Caenorhabditis elegans: one gene and its partner. The protein of the gene in region 1 interacts with the protein of each later gene in a pairwise test. Each region holds a gene or a part of one and is shown on either strand. Other genes may lie near its edges.

Region 1 (3,929 bases):
TCGGTCACTTTTATGGATCCAGTTATATTGCTGCTCCTGATGGTAGCCGTACTCCAGTGAGTTTATTGAGGTTAAACTTCAACAATGAGTAACTGCTCAAAAATTTTTATAACTGTTTCTCTCTTTTAAAAAAAAATAGCTTGAACAAATCTGATACATATTTTTTTCAGGCATTATCTCGTGTTCGTGAGGGAGTTCTCATTGCTGAACTCGACTTAAATCTGTGTCGTCAATGCAAGGATGCTTGGGGATTCAGAATGACAAACCGTCTCGACATGTACGCTCAAAAGATTACGGAAGTTTCCAACCCGGACTATCGTCCAGACATCAGAAGAGAGCAATGAATCAGTTTTGTTGTTGACATTTCAATTTATGGATGATTTTTCTTTGTTTTCTATCACCTGATTATTATTTGAATCGTAAATAAATGTAATTCAATTTAGCTCATGATTTGAACTAATGAGGTGAATAGTAGTAGATCAGAAGAGGGAGATGACTCAACTTGTTGTACTTGATAAACTTTAAAAGAAGCAATCATGTGGAAGACTGAAGCTTTATAAACTTACTTACTAGTTAGGTGATATATACTTCAGCTCTTTTGCTTTTTAAAAGAAGTTTTCTTTAGATATTTGATAAGATATTTATTCTAGTGATAATATTTTTGCTGTCGTTACTGAGGCAACATATAGAGAAACTAGGCACCAATATTATAATCACTAGTTTCTGATAACCGCCCATCTCATGTTATTTTCCCTTCTTCTTGAGAATTTTTCCTAGTTCGCAGTAAACCAAAATTATTTTGGAATTTTCGTACTACTTTTGAATAACTATTAGATACTACTTTAAAGGTTTTGTTTTGTATTTTGAGATTTTGTATGCGGTATTGTTAATTTTTGTCCCATACCAGACTACTCTGATTGCCGTTCATCCAAGAAAAATGCGTTTATCTACAATTTTTAAGTAAAATATCAATTATTATAAGATGACTGTTTTTCATGAAAATTGAGAGAAACTCAGCAAGCGGAACGGCTTGACCAATTAAAAATACGATTTTTTATAATGAAGATGTTCGTAAGATTTTAGTGTTTAAAAACATCTATGTTCACTCTGTCTTTATTGGGAAGTGGAGTAATCCACGACTGGATTACCGGTTACAGTCCCAGGCTAGAGCATGACTTGAATTATAGCCCAGTGAGGTACCACCAGGCAATGTACCTGACTCCCAGATCCGCAGTCTATAGAACGGATCGTCCCTTTTTTAAGGTCGCCCTGTCAAATCTAAGGAAGTAGACATATTTGTTCACAATGAGCAACAGTTAAAATGAAATAAAAATTTGGATTTTGAAATGTTGTGTGACTAACTCACTCATAAACTAAATTTAACTATTATGGAAATGAAGAATATTTAGTACTTTTGTTTTGTTCAACAGATTTTTTTTCCATAATTCCATAATTCAGAAATTCATTTTTCTTTTAGCGATTTCAAATCTTTCAATTTACAGTTGTAGATTAGGCTACTTTTTATTTCCGACTTTATTGTATTCATTTTGTATTCAATCGAGGTGTCTAGAATTATGGTTTCATTGAACCCAATTTTTTTTTGTTTTTTCCGTTTTGTATAGTATCAGACACTACTATTTTCATGGTGCTGTGGCAGATCCCCAGTGTAAATTTCCATCTGATTACTACAACTTGTATTGTTTGATGTTTTCAGTTGTTTCACAAATCATTCATATTCATATCTTTACAATTAAGAAGTTCTTAAACTCATATCTTTACAATTAAGAAGTTCTTAAACACATTTTTGATATCTCTGGTGGCTCGAGGCAACTTGGCTCCTCCTTCCTACTTTTTGTGCATTATTCTTCTTTTTTCTCGAATTCTCATTCAAATTACCAGTTTGCCTTACTTTATATATGCTCTGCACAGAGCTCCCTTTCTTAAATTCTTTTTCTTCATATTTATAACTTGCTTAAATTCAAATAATGGACAGCATATCTCGTCGTGCAAGATTTCGTTTTGGCAAGATGCTCAATTCTGCTGCTGCTGTTATCAATCAATCAACACTTCGTCGTCGATCTCATTTTGCCCGTTCTGCTACAACCAACAGCTATGGACCGATTCCTATTGACGGTGATAGTTCTATTCCGCTTATGTATTCTTCTCAGTAAGTTTTAAGAAATTTTTCATGATAGTTTGGTGTTTTTTTTTCAAATTTATAAACTTTAAATAATCAAAAACAAACGTATTGCTCAGCGTTTAGAAAGAATATATATAACTTCAAAAGCCTGTAGTCGTGTTGTAGAAATAATTTTTCACCGTTAGACTTCTGTTTAATTAATTTTCAAAAAACTAAAGCACATCTAATCAACACTCTAAAGTTATTTGAGTTTTGTTCAAAATGTGTTTCAACCACACGACATTCATTTTCATGTAAAACCCTGTTTCAATAGGTTTTAAAAATTTCAATTCAATCTAAAAAGTTATTTGCATGAATAGTCTTGAAAATTATAACTTAAGTTTTTTTCAATTTCCATGCTTTTTCTGTGAGTCTCTTGTGTGCGTTTTTTATAGGAAAAGTTCCCATGGAAAGTGTTTAGCAACGGGGGAAAATGTACATGCCAACACACTTTGAAACATATTCTTCACTCGATTTGTTTCTACTAAAACATTCTACGTATCTCGTTTTTTTTCATATTGTCCAATATATAATTTAAGTTTTTCTAATAATAAAACTCTCATCTAATGATTACTTCCCGTAATTATAGATATAGAGGCACAGTAATTTTTTGCATAAATTATGGCAGTGTTTAAAAATAAATGTGAAGTTCAAAAGTTGAAAATTGTGACGAATAAATTTTTAAACGCGTCCCATAAATATGATAAAAACGCCAGTACTCATTGAAAATAATTTCAGAACAAATTCAACAGGCTCAAACAATTCAATCGTCTCTATTCCAGGCCTCGGGAACGTTTCAAATGTAGGTAATTTAATCTTTGGCTATAACTGGTACAACATTATGAAAAAATAAAAATGCAGTAAGAGAAAAAAAATGACAGCGGTTTTTTTAAAACTGCTTATGAAGTTATTAAAATGCGTTGAGAAATTTGCAGCTGATCCAAGTCAGATCCCTCGAACAATCAATGGAAAACGATTTAAACGCGATAACTTTGAGTGAGATTAATGGAAAAGGAGAAATTGTTCCTTATATCAAACCAGAAACGGATCAATCAAAGATATTGGCTGGATTCATAAAAATAGCAGAGTACATGTACATTACGGATAATCGAGAGTTATTGGACAGAGATGAGTTGGCATCTGCTGGAATAAGTCATGTCGTTGTAAGAAATTTAAGGCCTTTATTTTAGAATTAAACTATTTTATTTTCAGAGTCTCGGAAACGATTTGCCACTGGCTGTAAGTGTCACTAGACGGGATGGGCATCTTGTAATGATTCCTCTCACTTTGTTTCATGAAACTGATGTGGATCCAGTTCAACCGTTTAAGGTAACATTTTGAGCTTCTAAACAGAAGATATTCAAAATATTTTTTATTCAGAACCTCTCTGCAAAGTTTGACAACGTCAACTTGTTCATTGAGAACGCTCGTAAAATATCTCAAAAAGTTGTCATCTACAGTAAAAATCGCCAATGGGCATACTTTGTAGCGGCTCAGTATAACGTGGAGTATGATTTTTACAAATTATTTTCAGTATTAGACTTTTATCATTTTCAGTTACTACGAGTTGGAGCCAGGAAAGGCATTACATCATTTAATGAAACTAACTGGAGAAGAATGGGTTGATCTACCAGAAAAGTGTATGAAGAGATTGAAAGAATGGAAAAGTCTTGGAGAAAAACGAAGAGCTCAATCACCAACTGAGAGAAAGTTGAGCTTGTCAATTAATAGTATTTCTAAATAATTCTAA
Region 2 (3,929 bases), on another chromosome or scaffold:
TTTCTTCTTCCGAAGCTGCAATTACAGCAAGAATGTTGGTCATGTCATCAAATCTACATGATCGCTTCTCTTCTAATGACTGGGTGGAGAAGTTGGAGAGCCAGCGCTTTCTTACTTGCAAATGTAGTCAACAATGAAAATGAGAAAGATAAAACGCAGAATAGAACTCAGTTACCATTGACGTATGCAAGGATGACTGTCTAGGATATGACACCTGTTTCAGAAGACTTTGTCAGGGCAACTTGGCTTAGATTCATTTTATTTATTTATCTATGTAGATGATTGTTGTATGAATTTGAATCCTCATATCGAAATTGTCTAACTATCAGAGAAGATTTTGCAAAGCCTTCTGTATCACTGTTGTTTCAGTTATAAATTTTGGAATCCTTGACGCAGCCATACGGGGAGTATGACAAACCTCTAATTTAGATTTCTCTAGCAACCACCTATCCTATAATTACTTATGAATGTGTATTTTGGCGCAGCATGCTGCTGCGCCTAACTTGAAATAAATGACTATCAGAAGGCAACAGCGTCGGGAATGGGCAGTGAATTACGAAGCTCTCCTTTGATTGATAACAAACATGGTATAATTGTATATATTCGCAACTTTTTGAATTTCCAAATTACTACCCTATGGTCTCGATCAGTGCTGCGCTCCATTGCTCCATTTTGGAAAGATATACTTCGGTCCATTTTGAAGATATCATTAAGCAGTTAATTAGGCAACTATAGAAAAATAATTGAGCATTATTTATTCTGTTTTTGTTGTATTATAAAAAAGAAGAGAACCATAATATGAGCAGCAAAGTTTAGCAATAAAGTGCAGCACTAATAAAGAGTATTTGGGCAAGCTGAACTTGCCACTCATTTGCTTTCTTTTCATTTTTGAAAAATACAATTTGAAGTATACACGGCATTAGTTAATATTACAATAATCACAATGTTATGCGGTTTTTTCAAAGTTTTTAATTTTTAACCTTTTGTTGTTAATTTTTTGAAGTGTTGCATTACAACTGTCGTTAATTTTTTGGCTGTTGACTAGAGAAATAATGGAATATTTGTCCTTGTCACGTAACATTTGGTTAATCGAATACATTTTCTTTTCCGTCTCCTGTCCTCTCATTCTCATTTCAATTTCCATCCGCTTCTTCTACTGCTACTCTTCATTATTTCCTCATGTGAGGAAGGCAAGTGAGCTACTGAGCACGCCTGAGCATACGCACTTTTTTCTTGCAGTGAATCAGATTTAATGAGAACTGCATGATTGGAGACGGAATAAAAAGAAAAAAAAAGAGGTCGGAGCAAACATAAAGGGGAGACATAGTTTTTTATAATATTTCGCAAAGTTCACGTTGCGGAACGAAATTGAGGGACCATAAAAAGAATGAAATTAATTTGAACTTTTGATTCTGAAGTGTGTTTCTAAAGGTTTTAATTTATCACCTAAGTTTTTCTCTTTGGGGCTAATTACTGCTTAATTAACATTCTCTGACACAGAATTAACATAGAAAATGCTATATAAATCTTGTTGTCTTAAAAAAACAAGCTTATACAAGTGTCAAATTAACGAAAATTTGGTTATGACCTACTCAAACAATTAAATTCAACGCAAAACTCAACTAACCTGACATACGGTTTACCGCTTGGTGAAGAATTGTGAGTGACACAAACGATGATTTTTCCAAAACAACTTATTGCACATGACATGTTTGCCTCTGAAAGTTTATCCGGTAAAATAAACTTCAAACAAAACATGAATTTAAAGGAAGAAAAAAGTTCAAAAAGGAAAAAGTTTAGAAAATGAATAGAACCTCATTGAAGAAAAAACCTTGATGAGAAGAAGAGGATGGGACACTTGTGGCTGTGGCGGAATATATCGATGCCTCGCGGACACACGCATACATAATACTAGAACCACTTCTTTCTTTTTTCTTTCCCTTTTCCCTTCATTCTCTCACTATATTTAATGAATATATGGATGATGAGTGAAAATTCAAAAGATACTGGGGCCACTGACGCTCTGGAGGTCTCGTGTCATGCGATCCGTTTGACATTTGGCAAAAGAACAACTTTTTCAGATTTTCAAGTGTTGAAAGTTAAAACTATTATAAAAACACAATTTGGATTTAGTATATATTTTTTTAATTTGCTTAGATTAAACAACTGTAATGTTTCAATTTAAAAATGGATCACCCCTGCTTTAGCACATTACTTTTGTAAAATTAAAATTCCTTAATTATTAACAAAAAAATTAGCAACATTTTACAAATCTCTACATTTCAGGAAGAAACTGAAAATTTTCACTTTTTTTTCAAAGCAAATATACAAAAAAACCAGAATAGTTTCCAAAAACATTTTGTCATGTGTGAAACCGTTTAAGGCGATTGCGAATGAAAGTGTGTGGGATGGAATATGATTATTGTTGCATAAAATATGTTGTTCTGATTTCCCATTCCAGAAATATGTAAACATAAATATTAAACTTTTACTGCGGAAATTTAAGACAAAGTTATTCGAAATTATAGGATTTTCCTACTACTAGATTCCACATTACTTCCAAATCAAAAAAATTAGCATAAAAACAAGATTTTAATTGTTTTAATTAATTTATTATTTTTATGAGAAAACATGTTAGCCCTTTTGTCAAGTTTGACCACAGCTACAAAGTTTAAAAAAACACAACATGTTTGGGCACTTGAAACAAAACCAATTGGTTTGTTGGCTTTCCACACAAGAGAAGAAAAAAAAGCAAAAAAAAAACTGAGAAAGTCAGTTTTTTGTTAGTTTATACGTTTTTTCAATGTTCACTTAAACACCTAAAAGCAAATGTTAAAATGAAAAACATACTTTCCAAATTAGCATTTCACTGAAGACCAAAATACTTGCATTCAATTTATAAATTGAGCTAGCACACCACATTTCACGGATGCAGTCTAATGGGTTGTGGTTTTTGGCACTAATGTATAGGAAATCATCCAATTGAAACGAATTTAGGGCTGGAACTGTTAAGTTTTCAATTTGAATACGTTGAACAATTTAATAATGTCAATAAAAAAAATTGGTGGAAATTTGAGTACAGAACACCTAGTGTTCCTAGTGTTTACAGTAACCCTACAGTACTCTCACGTACTAATCATTCTTATTTTCAAACAGCTAATGAATCTTTCTGATGTTAAAAATTACTTCACTGAACATTTTCCACAGAATCAGTTGTTTTTCGAACCATCTCAAATGCTCCGCAAAAAAATGAACTTTTATTCTCAAATCACCTACGCAATTAATATGTACTGGATTTTGCAACGACATGAAAAAAAAATACGAGGGCAATATTGACATTTGAATGAACAATGCTAAACAATAATAGTGGATCAAAAAAGATTTGATCACTGATCCCTCGATGAAATTGGATATGAGAATGGTATGTTTAATTGAATTGAAAAACTTCTAAGCGATCAATGTAAGAAAAACAGTGCCTGGAACGAGGGTTAGCGAACATTTGTTATAGGATCTTTGAAAATACGTTCATTTGGTAGTGCGAAAGGGATTTATACCTTTTTTTTTTCGGCTCTTTATTTTACTTCGGTGATATTATTTTTACAATAAAGTTGATTAAAAAATATTTAGGAGTATGTTTTTTTTTTGAAAGATAAATCAAGGCCGACATTTTAACTAAACCATTGTAAAACTGTTTTCTGTTTTTGAGCACAAAATAATTAGGTTGCCTCGTGCACTTTAACTTAAGAATCACTTCTCTTCGTAACCTTTTTTTCCCACAACTTTTCTTTACCACAAACATTGTCTTATGTTTTTGCAAGATTCACGAGTGCCGAGATGTGTGCGTGTATGGGGGGAAAAAGCTAATTTCACATGCAAACCACGCTGCTCATGACTCATTTGCCACCTCTTTTTAGGTCCTGGAGCCACGA

The links.
Region 2: the proteins of F13H8.6 (region 1) and rgs-2 interact in a two-hybrid assay, tested with the Caenorhabditis elegans proteins (one large-scale study listed by BioGRID).

Annotation. Positions count from the first base shown.
Region 1 is NC_003280.10:6,284,926-6,288,854, reverse strand, and holds the start of F13H8.6 (DUF4238 domain-containing protein), read left to right. Parts: upstream 1-1,889; 5' UTR 1,890-1,985; coding exon 1,986-2,167; intron 2,168-2,917; coding exon 2,918-2,981; intron 2,982-3,114; coding exon 3,115-3,342; intron 3,343-3,391; coding exon 3,392-3,508; intron 3,509-3,559; coding exon 3,560-3,687; intron 3,688-3,736; coding exon 3,737-3,923; 3' UTR 3,924-3,929. Other genes in the region: upb-1 (Beta-ureidopropionase), read left to right, coding at 1-56, 171-344.
Region 2 is NC_003284.9:12,710,442-12,714,370, reverse strand, and holds the start of rgs-2 (RGS domain-containing protein), read right to left. Parts: upstream 1,719-3,929; 5' UTR 1,711-1,718; coding exon 1,628-1,710; intron 1-1,627. UniProt on the Caenorhabditis elegans protein: Weakly inhibits G protein signaling in nervous system, interacting preferentially with the G(O) subfamily member goa-1. In vitro, it acts as a GTPase activator of goa-1.